Caenorhabditis elegans: one gene and its partners. The protein of the gene in region 1 interacts with the protein of each later gene in a pairwise test. Each region holds a gene or a part of one and is shown on either strand. Other genes may lie near its edges.

Region 1 (7,533 bases):
CAAAGATTTCTGACTAACCTGCTGAAATAAAACTGCAAATACTCATCAGGATCGAACTTCTTGACGTAGTCCTCAGGCAAAAGTACAGTATGCTGGGCATCCGATGATTCCGTAATGGTAGGGTCGATGAGAGTAGACATGACGAGGTATAAATAAGAGATTAAACGACACTGAAAATATTTTAATTTTTTTGAGTCCAAATTTTTGAAAAAAAAAATCAGAAATATAACAAGGAAACAAAGCACTTTTAAAAGTCTATGTATATCTCTATTTTCTTCCGCTTTTCACATGTTTGTTTTTCCCTCAAAATCTCCAAAATTCTTAAGTTTACTCCTTTTTTCCAGAAAAACTCTAATATTTAAGTGATAACACCCACGCAGAGTGCAATTAAATATCGATACAACAATTCATTATCATCATCAAATAACAAACAATTAACAAATGAGGCATCGACACTCTCGAAGTAGCACAAAAATTGAGTGAGGTGGCTCTTGCACAGAGAGCGAGAGCATAAGTGTGTGCTCTGGCTCCGCCTATTTTTTCGGAGCTCTGGGAGAGAAGGATAGAGAGAGAGAGAGGGAAGAAGGGATTTCCCGAGGCTCCCGGCAGGAAGTGTTGGGAGCCAGACAGTGGGAGCAGGCACAGAGTACGAAGAGCAAAGTGGAAAGATGGGAAACAACAAATTATGTTATGAGGAAGTTTTTTGGCAGATTGGTTATGAAACTTTGCAGAACTTTAATGCGTTACTGTAAATTTAAGGGAAAGTAGGTTCCATCGAGCGTACTTACGAAAATTGTACTGTAGCTCACTATCAGTACACTGTACTTTCGAAACATTTTTCTGGATTTCATCTTTCTGGAATTTTTGAATTTTCAATATGGAAAAAATGTACTTAAACTTCATTCGAAAATTATATGACTTCAAAGGAATAGGGAGGTTAATCGAAAAGTTACTGAAGTTTTCGAATTTTTGTTGGCCATTTTGCTTACACAAGTGCGCCCCACTTCACACTGATGTCTCTTTTGAAAATATAATAATAAGTCAATCGAAAAATACCGATTGTGTGAATTTTTCTATACTGTCCCTATTCCCCCTTTCATCTCCCCCCATTGACCACTTCTCCCCATCCCCTCCTCCTATTATGCGTAACACCCGGCATGTCTAGGCCACGAAAGTTGTGGTTCGTCGTGCAGTCATGTCCGAGTGGTTAAGGAGATTGACTAGAAATCAATTGGGCTCTGCCCGCGTAGGTTCGAATCCTGCTGACTGCGTTAAATTTTTTTCAATTTTTTCGCACATTTTTTTCGTTGTAACTTCGAAATTGTACAAAATGAAAATATACTTGATAATAAACCAAAACGTGCAGTCATGTCCGAGTGGTTAAGAATGTCCGAGTGGTTAAGGAGTTTGACTCGAAATCAAATGGGCTCTGTCCGCGTAGGTTCGAATCCTGCTGACTGCGAATCTTTTTGAATCTCGTCAGTCGATGTAACTTTTGTATCGAAACCATTTGGAGAAAAACGATGGAGGAGGAAAGGGCGTGTTGACATTATTTTATTTATCGAAAAACTGAAAATTCTTGTTCACACGAGACCAGGCCACATATTTTCACAATGCGTCATATCAGTTGGGGGCATTGAATCATTGTTCTTCAATATTTTTATCAGTTATTCTTCAATGAATGCACCTGGGATTCCATACCTATCATCATTATGAGTGTTGAAATATTGTTTCGTCCTCTCTTCCAATCATCTTCTCTTGTTGTTAGTTCCAATGCCTCTCCTTCCTCTCATATGTTCTAACACTTCTTGTGAGACAGACAGTTGGCATAGAGTTCCTCGACGCAGATACCTATACAGTTACAACACTATTTGCCCTGGGGCGTACTTACATTGATTTTCTTCACTTTTCTTAACTATTTAACATACTTTTTTTAAGATGGGCTTCATCTCATTATTGATTTTTCACCCTAGAGAAACCAATTCAGTACTTCGGAGACTATAGAACTTTTCTAACTTTCCGAAGTTTTAAACGGAAATATTGGAATCCACGTTATTTTCTAATTGCCTCAAACTGAAACTATCTGAAATTTTTATTTTCAAAGAAACTAAAAAAGCAATTTTAGTATCTGAATTTTTGGATGTTGTTCTTACTTGACGGAAAGAAAATACGTGCAATACGTTCATGTGCAGACAACGGTCTTTTTTCAGAAATGAATAATAGTTGCTAGTATTATTTTTTTCTTAAACTTCCAGGCTAATTTCACCTACAAAAATTCCAAAAAATAGCAATGGGTGGATTTTCGATATTTTCGCGAAACACGAAGCCCATTTACGCAAAAGTGAGCACAATGGATGCTGATTTGGAGAAGATTGTAATTGAGAAAACATGGACAGGAAGACATTTATTTGAAGCAGTTTGTCGAATTATTGGATTACGGGAAACTTGGTATTTTGGACTACAGTTCACAAATAAAAAGAATATTCCATGTTGGTTACAGAATGATAAAACTGTGAGTTTTTGTTGAATACATTTTTGGGGATACGGTATTTCCAACAATAAAACCAAATTCTAATTATCAAATTAAAATATTTTGGGAAAAATAATTTCTCTGAAAATAATTAATTTTTGAAATTTTCCAGATCTGTGGCCAAGACATCCAAAAAGACACATCTGATGGAACTTTTAATTTCTTATTTCTTGTCAAATTCTATCCAGAAGACGTGGAACCTGAGATTATTCTAGATGCCACTAGACATTTGTTCTTTTTACAAATACGAGAAGCAATACTTTCAATGAATCTATATTGTTCACCTGAAGCAAGTGTTTTATTGGCCAGTTTTGCAGTTCAAGCAATGGTAAGATTTTTGTATTTTAACTGGGTTTTACAAAATATGAAAATGCCATTTAAATTCCTTTATTGAACTTTTAAAAGATCGTCAGTTGAGAAAGTGTTTAAAATCACTCATAAAATTTTTAATATATTTCTGAAAAATTGAGAATTACAATATCGAAATTTACCAAAACTTTTGCTGTAAAATTTTGAAAATCTAAAATTTTCAGAAAGGATATTTGAAGAGTATTTGAAAATCCCATTTTCTTCCAGAAAAATTGGCAAAACATTTTCAAGTGCCTGAAAATGTTTCTGAAAAACTATCTATATACACTTTATTCAAAATCTAGTAAAAACGAATTAATTTTCAGCATGGCGACTGTACAGAAGAAGTTGGTCCAATTGATCTTGACAAGCATTTACCAAAAAGTGTGATTGATCAATATGATATGAGTGCTGATATGTGGAGAGATCGAATAAAACGATGGTGGTCACGGAATGCAGGACAATCAAGAGAAGAAGCTGAACTTGAGTATTTGAGAGTTGCACAGGATTTGGAGATGTATGGAATATTATATTATCCTATTTGTGTAAGTTATTTGAGAGATTCTGTTTGAACGGTTGTGGACATTTGAATTTGAGATACATAATTTTATTTATTTTCAGAATAACAAAGAAACTGACTTACATCTTGGTATATCCGCTCAAGGGTTGGGAATCTATAAGGGAGTGAATCGAATAACACCTCGGCCGTTTTTTAGTTGGAGTGAGATTAAGAATATTCAATTTAAGAATCGAAAGGTAATTTTTTTAAAATTTTCTTTTCACGATTTCCATTGTACGTTCAGTTTCACATGAAAACCGTCGACAAATCCACAATATCATTTCGATCACGAGAGACATCAATTGATTCTTCAATATTGGATCTTTGCATTGGAACACACAATTTGTATTTAAGGAGGAGGCAGCCAGACACGTTAGAGGTATGTGTCTTTTATAGTAGGGCAACTTGAAAATTTCTATTCAGTTTTCTACGAAATGATAACTGTATATTTCAGGTTCAACAAATGAGATCACAAGCAAAAGAAGACAAGCAACGTCGAGCAGCAGAACAAGCAAAAGTTGCATTGGAACGAAAAGAGAGGCAGCAAATGGAAAAAGAATATAAGGAAATGAAACAAAAAGTTGAAGTGATGACTTTGGAATTAATGAAAGCTCAAGAAAATATACGAAAGGCAGAAGAAGCGAATGATCAATTAGCAGAGAAGGCACGACACAGTGAACATGAAACTTTGATGTTGTACAAGCAAAAAAGTGAAGTTGAAGCTGAATGTAATCGATTAAGTATGAATAATATGAAGGTAAAAAATCAAATTAATTATGAAATTAAAGTTTAATTTTCAGTCCGAAGAAGCTCTGTTGAGAATGGAACGAAAAGCTCGGGAAGCTGAGATTTTGGCAAAGCAGATGTCAATGTCACTAGCAGATGTAAGCCTTGACGCGAATCGGAAAATGACACAGTATTCGAGTCAGTCTGCGTTGATTATTGATCCGGTAAGTTAATGGAAAATCTTCCCATTTTGAGTAAATCTTGACAAAACCGTAATGGGATTGATAGAGGATATACTCGATTAATACGGTTTAGAAACTTTCAGAATTGGCATCAACAAGTATCTGGTCATCAATCAGGTCATCCTGGTATGCCATCAACAGGATCATTTCATCAACTGCAATCACTTGACAGTTAGTTTTTTTAAAGGCACAATAAAAAAGTCTATTCCAAAATAGTATAGAAGTATAATATCTATAGCAACTTTTGCATGATAATTTTGGCAATGGGCGTAAAACTATGTTTAAAAGTTAAGAATAAAAGTTTGCCGAGTCAAAAAAGTCTAGATCACATAATAAAAACCGACCCCCTAATCAGTTTATCGAATTTTTTTTTGATTATGTAACTTCAACATTTTCTCACAGCCAGGTATTTGCAAAGTTGCCTCAAAAAAGAGAACACTAAAAAATATTTTGGTAATGATATTATAAATTCAAGATCTTCAAATGAGAATGTGTCTAGTTGTAAACTAATTTATTGTTTGTAATGCCAATTTGGGAATGAAATCGCAAGCCAAGTTGCTACTGTTTTTGACCAATCCACGTCTTGTTAGAAATAAGAAATAAGAAAAATATGATTATATTTATACGGAAACAACATTTTCAGCACACACTCATCCTCAACAAATGATGTCTCGAAGTCTGAATATGCCATCATCTGCATTTTCCTCCCCAATTCCTTCAAATCAACCACTTTCTCATCAACAACCACAACAAATGTCTCAAAATACTCAAGCTCATCAACAACAAACTCAAGTTCAAAATCAGAATCAACCGCCATATTACGGAGGATCTGGTATGATTATTCCACCACCCGATCCTTCAATTAGTCAGATTTTCGAGCAACAGACTACTCTGATGGAGTTGGAAAAATCAAGGTTAGTTTGGTAATTAAAAAAAAAGGATAACTGAATTATATGCTAGCAGAGTTGAGCAATGGAGGTACAATCCTAATAGAGAATAGTATGTGACATTAGAAATTTTTTCAGGTCAGAATACGAAACACGAGCGCGAATCTTCAAGGAGCACCTGGAAGAATTACGTGGCGATATTGACGGCCTGAAACGAGACGGTAATGTACAAAATGGGCAGCATCGAGAGCATGATGCGGTTCATGCACAAAATGTGGCACACGGTTTTGATAAGTTCACGACGATGAGAATGGTAAGTAGATAATTTAGCAAGTTCTGTTAGCATGCTACCGTTCTGAACGGTTACTAAGCTGATCTCATGATCAGAAGGTCAAAAGTTCAAAAAGTTATTAAATCTCTTTTTCATCCTATTCTATTATATGTTAAGCTTCTAATTTATTAAAATTTCGCGCGTTTGGCATTTGTAAGTTTGACGCTTAACTTCGGAATATCTCCAGAAAAAATCAAAAAGCGCAAGCTCAATTGGCTCATCGGGTTCCTCCGATTCCTTGGAGCTCAATACTGTCGCTAGACATGTGGCGGGACGAGGGATTCCACGTGTCTCTACAGTATCCACTACGAGCTCGTCAAGTATTCTGAGCCACGTCATGATGCTGCATAGACAGCAGTCTTATGATTTGGGAAACACTGAATGGCAGGAAGCTGACATTTGAATATAGTGAGAAAATAGTGCCAGAGTTTGATTGTTGTGTGGTAGAGCGTGTTTGCATATTGACTAATTTTCCAATTATTGTTTTCTAACACTTGTTGATTGGTATTTTTGTTAGAGTTGAAAATAAACATTCATGGTTCAAGCGCTCTATGAATAAATTCAATAATATGCACACTGTAATTGTTTTTTTTTGACTTAAAATTTAAAAATCAGGAATCGCAACAATGAACGCAGCGCGAAAAATATTTCTTAGAGCGCAATCGTTACGTCGGGTACTGACACGAGATTATTTTTTCCGCTACAGTATCCAATAGTAGACGTTCCATCGTTTATTTGGAAATTCTTTTTCTTGAGTTTTTATGTTTTTGTAGTAAACCTATTCAGGGAAAATAAGATTTTCACAACAAAAACTCGAAAAATTTTTAAAAATAGAAAGAAACAAGAAAAAGCAAAACCCAGGGTACGGTATCTGAAAAGTTTCGCTCGCGCTAAGACTTTATTAATTTTATTAATTGATTCAAAAAATCACACATTTTTTAGTGAAACTATATCTTTGAATTTCACAAACCTGTCCGTCGGTGTATTTTGTTGTGATTTTTCAAATTTTGAAATGAACATTAGTGTGGTATTGATTGATTATTCTTCTCATTTTCCAATTATAATTTTCTTATAATTTCAGAGTATGCGAGGAACTCCACGACAACGAGCACAAGCTTTTGATGGAATGTGATAAGAAACTTTATGGCCATTTATGAACCGATTTTCCTTTTTTTTCTTCAGTTTTTCCCCATCCCGATAAGAGATAACCCCATTTTGTGCTCATTCAGTTTATTGATTTTTCCACACCCTTTTGCCATTTTTCAATCAATAATCTTTCGTGGCAAGACAAAAACGCGTATTTTTCTTCTTTTTTCCGAAAGGCATATTGTGTAAATATACATATCGAATGATTGATGAATACAGATTTTTTTTAAATGTTTTTTTATTAACTTAAAATAATGAAAAAATCTGTAATTTATTAATTCATTTCCAGCAAAAATGGGCGAAAAATTCAAGGTTTTCGTGTATGGAACCCTGAAAACAGGAGAGCCAAACTACAAGGTTCTGTCAGAAACTGACGGAGAATATCGGTAAGTTCGGGAGTACTGAAGAATTTTGAGTGTCAAATGTGATGCATTACTTCTTTCAGATTCATCTCATCTGGAACTACAGTGGAAAAGTTCCCATTGGTAGTTGGAACCAAATATAACATTCCATTTTTGCTTGATGATGCTGGGAATGGAAATGTGAGTTTTACAACCTGAAGTTTATTTAAACCGACGTACTTTGAAGCATATTGACAAGTAATTAAAAAAAAAGAACGAGAACGGAATCAGCTTTGGCAGGGAAACAAAGATGAATAAGGAAATTTTAAAGAAAGAAACAGAAAAATGATTATGCGCACGGTTTAAAGGGAGTATAAATGCCAAAAACTTGTTTAGATCCGAAATTTTTTTGGTATTCAAAAT
Region 2 (6,411 bases), 1.1 Mb from region 1:
CATTTGATATTATAATAGTTTTCTCCCATTTGGATGATCATCTACAAAATACGCATTGATATCTCAACAAAGGGGTTCTGAATGAATTTTTGTGTAGGCAAGAAACGCTCGCCTGCTTTTAATTCAAAAAATGGATAGTCTCAGGTATCAGGTACAAAAATTCGTCTGAAGACCTGAATGCCAGGGAAGTGTAACTTCTGGTTTTAGCAAAGTTAGCTGGTTGTACGGAATTAATTCAAATTAGTTGAGAAACAGTTGAATCGCCGAGCCAAAATGCAGAAAATAGGTGGTAGGCAGGTATGAGGAGCCTGTAGATATGCCTGCCATCCATGCCCTAAATAAACGTTTTGAAAAACTGCATTTCCGCAAAAACCGTACATCTACTTTGATCTCTCCATTTCCAATTTTCCATGTGATCATCAGTAGCTAGTCAAAAACAATTTACCAAAAGATCAACATATTCTTCAATTTCTCTATAGACTTTCAAAAATCAAACGATTATTATTATTCGTCTTATCATTTTATTTTTACCAGGGCTATGATCACCTTTTTTCTGTATCAGAATTCAAAAAATCAAACTTGAATCGGAAGTGAATGGAAATAAGTTTGCAGGGATTGAATAGTTACTACAACAAATGTTAAGCAGACTCTTACAATAATTATATTAGTCTGTAGACATTCCACCATTGAGCTGTCAAAGAAACGAAGCAGACAGAATTGAAATGTTTAATAACTAGATAAATAAACAAATAATAATCTCATGTATTACAGTTTAATTGATAGATAAAACATAATCATGCACTTTTAAACTTTGCAAATGATAGGGCTACAGTACCCATGATGTCAAACAAATTGCAATTTTTCAATTTCAAAATTGATCAACTATTTCCTTTAAAGGTTTCTGATCACAAAGAAGAAAATCACTCGTATTTTGTACCCGGTCTCGACGCGACAATTTTTTGTAAAATGCGAAAAAGTATGCGCCTTTACAGAGTAATTTCAAACTATCGTTTCGAATTTTCAGAATGCTTGACATTACAATTTAATTTTTAATTTTAATTTAAAGGCGCACACCTTTTCGAAACTAACAAAAAATTAGCGTGTCGAGACCGGATACCGTATTTTTTTTCGCAAAATTTCGTTTCTGGGTTATATGACTTCAATAACTTATAGATACAAACATCAGAAGCTTCCTAGACACAAAATACAGAAAACACATGTTCACTCTTCAAATATACATTTTTATTGTTCTTCCTGTTTCATTAAAAGTGTAAAAACCGAGATGATGATGATATTGATAGTGTGAGATGTAGTTCATAATGATGCTACTAGATAACATCAATGATCGCATTTCACAGATCTACAGCTGAATTATCACCTAATGTAAGCAACGAATATTGCGATTATTGCTCCAAAAATACGGTACCCGGTCTCGACGCGACAAATTTTTGTTTAAAAAAACAGGTGCGTCTATAAAGAGTACTGTAATTTCAAACGTTCGTTTCTGTAGAAATTCCCGTCTGGGACAACAACTTTTCGAAATCCTCGAATAAAAATGTTCAATTTTCTGTTAAAACAATTAGTAGGTAATCTGAAAAAGCCAACAAACAGAAAAGAAGAAATATTCCGAAACTCTTTCCTTGTTGCACATTTTCCAGTTTCTGTGTCTCCGAAAACTCCCATTCCGATAGGCCAGTGCAAGTGCGCTCCATGGCTCTACTGGTTTTCTTCAATGAAACAATTTTATTGATTTCAATATCGTTTCTTTCGTTTTTTTAGTGTTTAATCATATTTTATTCATTAATTATTTAAAAATAAATATTCAAATTTTATTAAATTTCAGATGGAAGAAGAAAATACACCGGAAGTCCAATTTGAACAAGATGAAAACGAGGAAAACACCCTTCAAATCGTAGACAGCGACCTTGTCATCGAGAACTCTGTCACGGAGAATGTTCCCTCAGAAAATCAAGATGTAGAGATGGAAATAGTATCCGATTCGGAAGAACCTCTAGAACCTCCTGTGCCGGTTGCAGTGAATTTTGAAGAAGCACCAGTAGAAGAAGTTCCAGGGGAACAAGAAGCAGTGCTGGTCGAAGAAGAAGAAGAAGAAGTACCTGCAGAAGCAATTGAAAAATCTCATGAACAAAGAGAATCCTTCATGGAAATGTTTAGAATAGCTCCGAGAATTCGAGATATTCTACCAGATTTGCGCGTTTTTATGAGCCATCCGGACGTTTTAGACGAAGATCGGAAAGAAGTTGAGGCTTTAGTAGAGGCAAAAATTCAAGATGAAAAGGCGAAAAAGAAAGCTGAAAAGGTATCGAAGAAAGAAAAAGAAGTTGAAAAACCACCAGTGTCATTGGAAGAAGCTGTTAAGTAGGTTTTTTTAATGCGGAAATTGAAAAAAAAAACAAATATTTTTCAGAACTGTTACCGGAATAGATTTGGCCGCAATACTTCAAAAAATTCCGAAAAATCCTCAACAAATCGCCCCTGTTACAATACCTCCGCCTGTGGTTATGCCTCCGCCTATCGTAATTCCAGGAATGCCAAATGCTCCAGCTGTTACAGGTAAAAATTGAAACTTTTTTTTAAAAAGAATCACAAAAATGCCTCAAATTGGTTCTGTGAAGCTTCAAAGATCACAAATTGTCATCTAATTTGAATTTCGCGCGAAAATGAGTTTTCTATGATACTCGACCGTGTACTCCTCTCGGACAATTAACGAATTAAACTTTTAGATTTTAGACGATTAAAAAAAATGTTTTAGATTTTTTCCATCAGCAAAACGAAAATGATCATATATCCATTTATTTATTTTGAAGCAAAAAGCCGTGCAAAATCATCAAAAACAACCTAAAATCATAAAAATTAATTGATTAATTACCCGAAAGAGGTAAACGGCTGAGTATCAATCTCAAATTCGACTATACCACATTAAAGAAGGAGTTTTTAAAATTAATATAAAAATCTTGCCGCAGAGAGAAAATTTTTTAATACTTTTTTCAGAAGTTCTGAATCTGGTTTCACTGCCGTTAAATGCCAAACCCGTGCCAATCCCAATTGCGTCTTCAGTAATAGCACCCAATTATGCAACTGCGCCACCGATTGTGAGTTTTTTTTTCTAAAAATGTTTTTTTTTCGAATTCTCAAATTTTCAGGCTCTGACAGACCCGAACGTCGCTTCAATTGGACACGGAAAAGCTGGATTTTCTACGCCTCATCCGAATGAAATTCCAATTGAACTAAGACAGTATGTTATTTTAAAAAAAAAACCTTTATTTTAAATATATCTATTTTTTCAGTTCCAAACCAGACATGATTGCTCCAATTCCAGATGAGCTAAGAAATCTTGGGTATGTCCAATTGTATTGAAATTTCTTAACAAAAATTGTTTTCAGTGCCGTTCCAGTTGTTACTTCGATTCCTACAATTCCTAATGAGTTCCTACCTCCGTAAGTGAAATTTCAATTTAAAAAAGTCTCTACAACAAACATTTTTCAGAGAACAACGAATTCTTGGATCGTTACCACTCACTTTTGTTCGTAAGTTTTCCGTGTGAAATATTGAAGAAAAAACTAATTTTTCTCCAAATTAAGGTCCTCCGATGCGGAAATCCCTGTTTCTCTCTGGTGCAAGATCAGGAAAACGATGTGACAGAATTAAAATGCAGAGAAAGAAGGATAAAAAGGAAGTAAAATTGGAAAAGAAGCTGGAAAAGAAGTCAGAGGATGTAAGATATTTTTAAAAATTTCAGAAATGTAGTGATTTTGCTTTGAATTGCACAAAATGACTACAATATTACAAAGAAAAATGTTTTTTAAAAAAGTATATGAGAAGTTTTGGTTCAAAAATGTCGAAAAATCCATTGAGTGGGGAATGTTCATTCGGAAAAAAAAATATAATGACCGATTGTGCAATTTTAGGCCTTTTGTCAAAAAAAAATTTCAGTCTCTGGAATCAGTGGAAAAACGGCCCCGTGGCGGACATAGAGGTCGAGCTGGTGCAGGCAGATCAAGCTTTGAAGCAACAGGAATGAATGCTCTTCCTCAAGGACTCAACAAGAATTCTCCGCTTGCTGTTAAACGTTATCATGCTCGTCAACTTGCCAAAGAAACTGGAATGACATTGGAAGAAGCTATGGAAGAAATTGAAGAACAATGTAATGCATTTGGAGGTGAAGATACTCCAGAAGCAATTGAACACGATACAAAACTTATGGAAATGATTAAGAAACGAGGTGATGAACATTGGAATCAACGACATAATTATACACCTGTTGATCATTCGAAAGGAATTCCTGGAGTCGATAGACCACCTGGTGGTAATAGGGATCGTGGTGAAAAGGTTCGGAGCAAGTCGCCAGTTACAGGAGTTGATAGACCACCAGGTGGAGACAGAATTGAACGAAGTAGGGATCGAGAACCGGGTGGTGGTGTTCCTGGGGTTGATCGGGCGCCAGGCAGAGGATCTCGTGGAATCGATCGCCCACCTGGAGGTGATTCTCGTGGTGTTGATCGACCACCTGGAGGTGGAGGAATTCCTGGAGTAGATCGGCCACCAGGAGGTGGAAGGCGCGGAGTTGATAGACCACCAGGATCTGGAATGCCTGGAATCGATCGGCCACCTGGAGGGGATCGAATGGGTGATAAGCAAAGAAGAGGAGCGAGAGGAGGTGTTAAGGAAAGAGAAAGAAAACGAAGAAGTAAGTTTATTCAACCTTTATTCCACGAAAATTCGAAATCCTTATGTTTTTTTTTAAATATTTTTAAATAACGCTTTATTTTTCAGGAGATGAATTCCAGCGAGGAGGTGGTGGTGGTGGCCGAGGCGGTGGCCGTGATGGTGGAAGAGATTATGGTGGTCCTCCGCAAAAATCTGGGCGACGTGATCGATATGATGATTAGTGAGTTCAGCAATGAGCAGAGATATAAAACACATTGAGAAAGTATACGAAAGCCCCTTTTTCTCAGCTATCTCGGAAAGTAACTTTACTTTCAATTGAAATTTTCGAAAATTTGCTCTAAAACTGACTCAAATAATGCCGATCGACACTTCACGACTTTGAGGCAGTTTGTCAAAAACTTCTCGAAGCCTTCAATTAAACATAAAAAAGTATTTGTGACTATTCGCGTTTCGAAACCCCAAAAAAATTTCAATTTTTCAAAATCTCGATTTCAGCGATCGATCGTATCAAGGAACAAGTGGATATGGACAAGATTATGATTCACAAACATATGGAGAACGTGGTTACGATGGACATTATCAAGGACAAGAGGATTATTATGGAAGGTAATAAAATTAAATATTTTAAAATGAAATTAATTAAATTTAATAAACGTTTCAGTCAAGAAGGATATGGAGAATATAATCAGCAACACTACGGTGAAGGATACGATCAACAAGGATATGGGCAAAATGGAGATTCATATTATGGACATGAAGGGTAAGGAAAATCACTTTTTTAATTGTTTGAATTGTATTTTTATTCAAAAATAATTACCTATTTTCAGCCAAGATGCATCGACATATTACCAAGAAGATGGCAGTCAATACTACAATCAATACTACGGTACTGCTCCTGCAGAAGGTGAAGCTTCAGCTGTAACTGGAACGGATTATCATGCAACATTCAGTGTACCACCACCACCGGCTCCCCCTCCGTCATAAATTTAAGAATTGGGAAAACTAAATATTTTTGAATCAAAAAACTTCCTTTTTCAATATTTTCTTCAATTCTTTCCCGATTTCTTTCAATTTCAATAGTTGACTTTTATTTATTTTTAATTTATAAAATTTCTTATATTCTTCTTCCTCCTTCTATTGTATGAATATTAAAAACAGGTCCTTCGACCCGAAAAATCCCCTTCTCAAATCTAGGTCATCATATCGGAGATAACGGACAATTATGCATAATATTCGAGATGATTATCATATCGGTCATATGAGGGGGCGGAGTCTCGCATACAGTAGTCCTTTGTCCTTGTGCGAGGGAGTTTATGAGTATAAAAGGGTCCCTGAGAGAGGAGAAATGGACACTTTTATCAAAACATTTTCCATCTTTGTTTATTTTGACGATATTTATTCGCTGATACGAATTTTTGCAATTTTTATCCCGGATACCGTATTTCTTGGCAATTCAGATTACGCGCAAATTCTAGAATAAACATGTTTTCCAGATCATGTCAGTGTTCGCGGGATATGCCGCGTGCACCCTCGGTGCCGTTTCGATGCTTCTCTGCGTCTCTCTTGTCCCACAAGTCTATCAGCAAGTCTCGATGCTCCGGGACGAGTTGACGACTGAAATGGAGGCATGGCGTCTCGAGTCCGATCAAATCTACATGGATATGCAGAAGTTCGGACGTGTCCGTCGTCAAGCCGGAGGATACGGTGGATATGGTGGATACG
Region 3 (8,002 bases), on another chromosome or scaffold:
TTATGAAGCTGATGGAAAAAATACAAGTACATCATCTAAACTGGCTAAAAATTAAAAGAACAAAACTACATACAAATTGTATTAAGAGGAATGGACTTTGGAAACTTGAATTGAAAAATAAATTGAATTATGCATGTAACAGAAAGTAACAAAGAAGGAAAGTGTGTTGTTGGTAGCGTGTTTGTAAATAATAAATAGAATTTCGATGACTAGTGCATGAGGAATATTCAAGAAAATTGGTTATCCGCAAGTATTGACTTGTTATTGTTACTATTTTTGAACATATTGTAAGGAATTGGAGCAGTCGGTACAGGGTCGAATGATGATCCAGATGATGATCTGCAACTTTTTTTGTATAGTTTGTTACTTTTGAAGATGTTTATCGAATCGTAATAGATTCTGGAGCTAGTATTTTCAGCTTGACCTATGTGTGTTTCTAGAAAGTATTCAACTGAAAATTTTATACTCAAAAACTAACTTAAAAAGGAACTTACAATTAGAGAAAAGTTCAAGATTCACTGTAGTTTTGCTTTCGTTCAGAAAACTCAAATTTTGAGTACTTTTTGCAAAGTTTCCTAGGAAGAAAAAACAACGGTCTCATAATTTTTTGTCTCACCTCCGATGAAGAGAATTTTGCATCAACGAGCCCGATGAAGTTCTTGCATGTTCTGATAGCCTGGAATATGGGAATTAAGGAAATTATATTTGATTTATTTGAGCAATTAATAAAACTGCGTCTTACCCTCCAGTCACGCCCATTCGACCTTTTTTCTTCCTTTCCTGTATTTTCTGTCTAATTTCCTCCATTCTACTCAGTGCCTCGTCTCCGCTGTCTGGAAAAAAAGAAAAGAAATGAGAAAAAAAAGGAGAGAGGAAGAAGAGTGCTCTTTTCACATGCCAAAAGAAATGCAGTCGACGCTTCCCCCTTTGCCTTTCTTTTTTCCCGACTAGGGCTTCATATACTCACTTTTATCTACCATTGCTGCATATTTGTCCCGCTCCGACCTCAGTTCGTTGATGATCAGATCCTAAAATTTATCAATTATTCATCGAATATGCCCGTTGTAATTTGTGAGCTCATTTCAAAGTGTGTTTTCTGATGTTCTCTATAATAGAAATAAAGCTCATTTCTAGTATATCAAATATCAGAAACATTTTTATTTATTCTAGGCGCGATAATTAAATATACCAATCTAAAATTACTCTCTTGAATTAAACTCCCAAAGTTATTAGGCAAAAAGATTCTCCCCGGCCGGGAATTGAACCCGGGTCTCGCATGTGACAGACGCGGATACTCACCACTATACTACCGAGGACACGAAAGAGAGCGGTTGTTGAGGCTTTTATAAACTGGGTTTATGACCGAAAATTTAGTGCTATATAGTATATGTAACAATAAATTATGTTAATATGTATAAGGGGCAACTGGGAAACTTTAAACAATTTATTGAAAACATTTTCTGTGAGAAAACACGTAACCTTGAAAAGTAACGTCTCTATTTTTGAAAAGATCCCTTATAAATGTTTTCACTTGTTTTAAATTTTGTATAAAAAATTTAGCAGCAGTTCTTGCCTCACCTTTTCATAACTCTCCTCTTTCAATTTGTCCACCTGGGTTTCAAAGTTGTCAGTTATTGTTGCAAGAGTTGACTTCCGTTGCTCAGTTTTGTCACCGTGAGTTCTAAAAAAAGCTTTTTCAATTCTGCTCTCCATTTCCGTTTTCGGCTCAGTTCTTCAACAAACGAAGAGAATAAAAGAAGAGAGAAAGAAAAAAAAACAAACTTTCGCAAATCGTTCACCATTCTTTCGAGTTGCTGAATCTTGTCGTCTTTTGATTGAATGCTCTTTCGCATTCGAATAAGATCCTCTGTGCTGCCGGGAGTAGTGGTTCGCTGCAAAATTGATGATTATGCAAATGAGTAGTGGTTAGTAATTCCATGAGTAATTCTATAGATGTTCTGGCATGTTCTATTTCAGGGCTTATGTACTACTATGTACAAAGACGGCTTAGACGGCAATATCTAGGATAAGATTGTTATAGAAGATAAACTAATAATAATAGTTTATAATTTTAATTTCCAGTAAAAAAATTATGAGATGCTAGAAAAATTTTTAATTCTCCATTTTTTAATGGTATATATTAGAAAAATGATGACGCTCTTTAGACCCTCTGCAAACGTTTTCAAATGTACTAACCTATAGGCGTCCCATCTAATTTTCAGAAAAAAAATACTGAGACCGGTGCTGATCTATATCAATAAAACTTTCATTACCGGACATTTAACCCCATAATCGGGAACCGGTTCAAATGTTGTCGCCCCCCCCCCCCCTTTTCCTAGCACACCCCACATTACTTTCATTTACTACTATTTCTCTCCCTGTTTCGAGACAAACCTTAAGACTTCCAGTGAGTGATGTGTCTTTGTTCAATTGCATTCTTAGCTGAGTCTTCTCCATTTCCCACTGAGCCCGTTCCGACTCAACCATCTGATCCCTCCGATGTTGTTCTTCCCATACTTCGTTTAGTTGCTTTCGCAGCTCATCAGCGTGTGCCACTACAGCGGACAATTCTTCGCATTTCTAGAAAAAGTGTTTCTTATTGAATTTTAATTTCAAAAAAAAGATAACGTACTATCAAGAAAACAGTTTTGATTTGGGAGCTTTAAAAAATATTTTTAATGTAAGTTAAGAAAGCAAAAAACATTTTTTAGAGAAGTCCGGAAGTGCAAGGTATATTGCAAAGTTAAATTAAAATTTGAATTTCGCAATATTTTTTGAATATGAATGCAAAAGTAATGGTACATAACTATTTGAGTGCCTTTAAAATTACCTTGAAAATAGAAAAAAAATTGATAGACAAGTTCTGAATGTTTCTAAACACAGCACGTTTTCAATTGTTGTTTGTATCACATGGAAGTTTTTTTTCATTTCTTATTTTCCCACGTCAGTTTGCAAATTTTTTTCGCGTTTCACTTTTATTCATTATTATATCAATTGGAGTGTCTCATCAAAAACAAAAAAAATGAGACAACTGTTAAAAATCTATTTCAAGTAAAAATTGATTTCCGGCTAGTGAGACAATTTTTTATTTATTTTTGGGTTGTCTCGTTATGAAGTCATGTTGATCAAAATCCTTAAAAACCGAAAAAGTGGCCAAAGGTGACCAAACCTGGCCACCAATGGGCTCTAAATGTACCATAATCAACGAAGTGAGATCATAATTCAAAAACTTCAATTTCCGACTACTGCGACACGGTAAAATATTCTAAATTAGAGATTTTAGCTAACAGTCAGGAAAAAAAAATTTTAAATTTTTGGAGAAGTTTCATTACGAATTTCGTTCATTTGAAAACATTTTTAGTCTATATGTTCAGAAATTCTCCATATTCACAAAATACCCAAACAACTGTTCACTTTTATCAAAAGTACACTGTTGTGGTCCTATACTTTTGTTCTCCCCCCATTTTCCCATAAATAAATTGGAAATGTTATCCATTCCGCTCAGCACATTCTCCCACAAATATTCCATACTTTTTCCCGCTTCGCCAATCTCTCTTGTGAATTGGCGAGTGCCTTCTCAAGCATTGCAATATGATTTCGTTGCTCCTCCAACGTCTGATTCTGTGCCTCAATCTCCATTTTTTGCCGCTCTTTGCATGCGAAGAGTTCTTGCCCTGAATCGGAAAAAAATCAATTGTATAAGTATTTTATTCGTTTTTTTTTTCATATTTCTCATTCTGCTTCTCTGTTTCCAGTTCTATTGTATCAAATTTATTTCTTTTTTTCTCCTCACTCTGCTGAATTTCGTTTAACATCAGGTTCGCCACCATCGTTGGTTCAGTACTTGCTTTTTCCAGCCGCATTTGCAAGTCGTCTCTTTCGATGGTAAGTCTGAAACTAAGATTTTTAGAAGATAATGGATTTTCCTGTTGATTGGATGTTTGTTTGATATATTGCCGCTTGTCAGTTTTTTTTTTGGATAAACTTTTTAAAATAAAAATATTGTAAAATTTCAGAAAAATATGCCCGTGTAAAACTTTGTATGAAATAAGCTTTTTTTTGCTTACTCGGCATTTGGTTCTGGCTTCTTGCCCAACTTTGTCCTACAAAATATCAACATGGATTGGCGCAACTTGGCCAAAAGTTAGGCAAGACTTCGGCAAAAATTACACCAAAGTTCAACACAAGTTTCACCCAACTCTCGCCAGACTTCTACCAAAGTTTGAAACGAAACAAGAAAAGTTTGGGCCAAAGTTTGGCAAGAGTTGGGTTTAAAGTAGGGTAAGAGTAGAGTTCGGCTTTGGTTAAACTCTGGTGCAGTCTCAATCCTTTTTCTCAAGTTTAGCCAACTTCTAAGCCAAGTTAAGATTTTTTGGGCCAAACTTGGGCAAGTTGCAAGAGCCAAATGCGAAGAGTATTTTGCCCAAGTTTGTTTAATCAAATCATTATTGTTGTGAACTTCAATGATATTAGTTGTGTTCAATGTTTGTCTAGTTTGCCCCAAACAACAAAAAAGTGCTGCTCGTGAATTTTGTGAAATAGTTTTCAATTCATTTTTAAATGGAAACTTTTTTATATTGCCTTCATTAGATATAAATATCAGAAAATTGTTGTCTCTTTTTACCGACAAGATTTTCAACCAACTTACTTTTTTACAGACTTTTCCAATTGAATAATCACGTTCAGCTCTAAATTTTCTTGCTTTTTTCGTTCATTTGCCAAGTATTCGTATTCTTTTTCCAGTCGAGCATATGAGTATTCAATCTGCAAGCATTTAGGTTTCCCACTATTTTGAAACTTCCAACAAACCTGTTGTAGTTTTGAAAGACTGCGCTTGAAAGCGTCGAGCTCTTTTTTCAAGTGCACATTCTCCTCGCGGAGAATTTGAATGAGCTTCTGGTTGCTGGATACTCCCTAAAATAATTGTTTGTTTTGCTGTTGCTTGTTGAAGTTCTTACTCTGTTAGTTTGGCTCAATGTGGGGACGTCAAGTGCTTGATCTCCAGATGCAGATGCCCTACGCTGATAGGCAGATGTGCTCATTTTTGATTCATTTGGGGGAATACTGAAATTATTAATGTTTAAAAGAAGAAGGTCAAGCTTTTTTTTGTAAAAAAAATATCTCAGGAAAAATGTTGAGTTTGTCAAAAAAGTTTGTTTGTTTTTTGAAATGCAACTTGAAAGTAGGAAGTTTTAATTTTAGATAATCGTTTAGCTAAAAACCTGTGCGGAAGTTGTTTAAAAGTTTTTCCATACGAATATAGTGATTAAATATAAAAATGAAACTCTTGTTATAATTTTTGAATTTTTTATTCACAAAAAAAAAAGAGAGAAATCTAGCAATTTTTCAGTATTCGTCACTTACTACTTATTAAATTCACCAAAATGTTTTCTACGATTTTTATAATTTTATAAAATGAAAAAAAAAATGCTACAAATTTCCTTATTTAAAAAGTGTGGCTGAAATTAATGCATAGTGGGAAACACTGTGGATAAAGTTATTGATACATTCAAAAAAAATTTTACAGTTTACCGTATAACGTTTCAAAAACATCATAAAACCAATACTTACTCTGACGATCTTGATCCACTCGCAATAAGACATGGCTGAGAATGACTGATAGGTGATGCTGAAATAATATACTATTTTCATCAATCCACCAAAAACAGAAAAAAAACAAAAAATGTCACACGCACGTCCTGCACTTCCATGTAAATCCTTCCGGCTGTTTGCTCTTTGCATGTTCATTTCAAGCTGATATTTTTCGAGCATCTTCTGCAACCGCTTCTCGTCGTCATCCTTGCTTTTTGTTTGAGCCTGGTGGTTCATCACTGAAAAATAGTTTTTCGAATTGCAGGACCCCTGGTTCGATATTGCTCACCACTCGCTTTCAGACTTGGATTCAACTGAGCCTCCTTTAGAAGTGAGTCTAAAATGTTCGTCTCTCCCTGATACATGGGTGTCGGTGGCACTGCATGCACTCGTCGCTGATCCGATGATGTGCCATCCGACGAGCGCGGATCTATCACGTCCCCTCGATTCATTCACCCTGAGATTAGTTTCGATTAAATAGTGAATCATCAAGATTGAATGTAGAACGAGAAAAAAATAGGTGAGAAAAATTAGACATTTATTTGGGTGCTAATATGGCAATCATACCTAGAAATATTTAATCAATAACGTAATTCTCACGTGGTCATTTTTCAACTAAACTACATGAAGCTAATACTAACATGAATTTTAACTTCACATCTTGAATGAATGAATATTTTGAATGCAAATACAAACGTGGTGTCAGGCCCACGGTGTCAGGCATTACGGTTTCATCTACAAAAAATGCGGGAGTTTTTCAATCGAAAAAAAATTGACGCCAGCGCGTTCTTAACCGTGCAAAATCAGTTGAGAACTCTGCGTCTGAACTCCTGCATTTTTTGTAGGTCTACGTAGATCAAACCAAAATGAGACACATTGACGCCACAAGAATACATGAAAAAATGATACAAAATTATATGTATTCTGGAAAAAAATTAAACAAAACTAAACCATGAATATTGTTGCCAGTGCAACATGTTCCCAAATTTTACGAATGATAAGAAGACACTTCGTGAGCTAATACATACAATGTAGAAACATTTTCATTAGTTTAAAATTGAATTAAATCTAATTTGATAATATACCAATACTCTAAACTGTAAGACCAAACTAAAAGTGACAATTTCTGGTATAAGTCACAAATACTCAACAACAAAAAACTAACACAAACCCGTCTCGGGCGGTCAAACGCAGTTTCGATTAAACTACACTAAAAGGTTTCAAGTGACCTGACCCGAAATGCAAGTTCCTAATTATATAATTACACGCGTTCGTGTGGAAGACCTTCTTTCCAAAATCGTTTAGTTTAGTTCTGATTATCGCGGCTTATCCGTGTTAATCTCTGACGTGGTCGAAATCCAAAATGAAGAAACTTATGTTTTTGCTGTTTTTTCCAGTTTTTTTGTTTTTGAATCATGTGTACTGAACAACAAATGGGCAGGATGAAAAGCAAAATATGATGAAGCTAGCCGAAAACATAAACAATAGAAACAAAAACTTCGAAACAAAAATATGAGGAAAGAGAATATGTTTTATATGACGAATTTTTTTAAAACTATTTTGATATTTAATGTGTAGTTTTTCGTTTAATAATTTTAGGTATGGTATGTTTTGTATCAATTTTGCACCCCATGGTATTTTTCATGGATCTTCTATGATTCCCAGCGTCTTCAAAATGCTCGTATAATTTTGTTTCTAAATGTGCACATTTTTGTTTGAATCCTACGTAAATTCCAGTTTTGTATATTGAATTTCAAATATAAACAGTCAAAAAATGGTATTGCAAGAAATACTGCAATGAAAAACACAGTAGTTCTAGGAATTACGAACAAAAATTAATTCGTCGGTTTATCATCTTGTAGAATTGGATTTTTGACTTCTGATTTTTTTAAATATTTTAGAATCTTTTTCGATTTTACTTACTTACTTAGTTTTACCTAGTTTTATTTAGTTTTATTTGGTTTTATTTTATTTTTTCTTTGATACTGAGTTTTATCGAATTTTCACATAAATTGCTTTAAGTTTCCTTGAACAAATCATTTGAAAATCATCAAAAGTATTTTAGGATCATTTTATGCGTTAGTGATTATTGATTTAATATATGGGTTATTGAATAGAAAATGCCAATTTTTTGATTCTATGTGACAATTGGTTTCTTTCTTTGTGATAGCAAATTAAAAAAATATTTCAATGTCATAATAATTAACTAGAAGCTTCAATAATGAACTATGAATAGCATATAAGTTTGAAATCTATTGATAAAAGATTATCAACAAAAAAGAAAAGAGTTAAACCATGTAAAACTTTTAGTCAAGTGTTAGAAATGTGTTGATTGAGTAGCCCCTCTCGAGACGCGAGTAAGAAATCGATTGATCAACGATAGGTGGGAGGCAGTGCGCTGGGCCCTACG

What was found.
Region 2: the proteins of nfm-1 (region 1) and F54D8.6 interact in a two-hybrid assay, tested with the Caenorhabditis elegans proteins (one study listed by BioGRID).
Region 3: the proteins of nfm-1 (region 1) and F59C12.3 interact in a two-hybrid assay, tested with the Caenorhabditis elegans proteins (one study listed by BioGRID).

What each region holds. Positions count from the first base shown.
Region 1 is NC_003281.10:6,157,589-6,165,121, forward strand, and holds nfm-1 (FERM domain-containing protein), read left to right. Parts: upstream 1-1,900; 5' UTR 1,901-2,290; coding exon 2,291-2,512; intron 2,513-2,642; coding exon 2,643-2,858; intron 2,859-3,204; coding exon 3,205-3,423; intron 3,424-3,499; coding exon 3,500-3,634; intron 3,635-3,681; coding exon 3,682-3,816; intron 3,817-3,891; coding exon 3,892-4,194; intron 4,195-4,237; coding exon 4,238-4,387; intron 4,388-4,488; coding exon 4,489-4,576; intron 4,577-5,048; coding exon 5,049-5,319; intron 5,320-5,430; coding exon 5,431-5,605; coding exon of another isoform or gene 5,606-5,617; exon of another isoform or gene 5,618-5,810; coding exon 5,811-6,026; 3' UTR 6,027-6,031; exon of another isoform or gene 6,032-6,038; intron 6,039-6,704; coding exon of another isoform or gene 6,705-6,755; 3' UTR 6,756-6,997; downstream 6,998-7,533. Other genes in the region: anmt-2 (Nicotinamide N-methyltransferase), read right to left, coding at 19-140; F42A10.9 (Gamma-glutamylcyclotransferase family protein), read left to right, coding at 7,064-7,155, 7,215-7,311.
Region 2 is NC_003281.10:5,101,148-5,107,558, forward strand, and holds F54D8.6 (C2H2-type domain-containing protein), read left to right. Parts: upstream 1-1,837; 5' UTR 1,838-1,843; coding exon 1,844-2,379; intron 2,380-2,428; coding exon 2,429-2,574; intron 2,575-3,012; coding exon 3,013-3,113; intron 3,114-3,164; coding exon 3,165-3,256; intron 3,257-3,308; coding exon 3,309-3,359; intron 3,360-3,404; coding exon 3,405-3,458; intron 3,459-3,507; coding exon 3,508-3,548; intron 3,549-3,602; coding exon 3,603-3,736; intron 3,737-3,954; coding exon 3,955-4,708; intron 4,709-4,794; coding exon 4,795-4,909; intron 4,910-5,184; coding exon 5,185-5,295; intron 5,296-5,350; coding exon 5,351-5,449; intron 5,450-5,516; coding exon 5,517-5,673; 3' UTR 5,674-5,873; downstream 5,874-6,411. Other genes in the region: Cuticle collagen dpy-17, read left to right, coding at 6,186-6,411.
Region 3 is NC_003284.9:16,603,476-16,611,477, forward strand, and holds the start of F59C12.3 (Angiomotin_C domain-containing protein), read right to left. Parts: upstream 6,050-8,002; 5' UTR 6,045-6,049; coding exon 5,882-6,044; intron 5,832-5,881; coding exon 5,697-5,831; intron 5,630-5,696; coding exon 5,572-5,629; intron 5,402-5,571; exon of another isoform or gene 5,177-5,401; intron 5,065-5,176; coding exon 4,959-5,064; intron 4,915-4,958; coding exon 4,810-4,914; intron 4,765-4,809; coding exon 4,649-4,764; intron 3,892-4,648; coding exon 3,794-3,891; intron 3,675-3,793; coding exon 3,532-3,674; intron 2,581-3,531; coding exon 2,395-2,580; intron 1,893-2,394; coding exon 1,783-1,892; intron 1,682-1,782; coding exon 1,579-1,681; intron 1,328-1,578; exon of another isoform or gene 1,235-1,327; intron 1,029-1,234; coding exon 968-1,028; intron 834-967; coding exon 743-833; intron 677-742; coding exon 617-676; intron 340-616; coding exon 228-339; 3' UTR 1-227.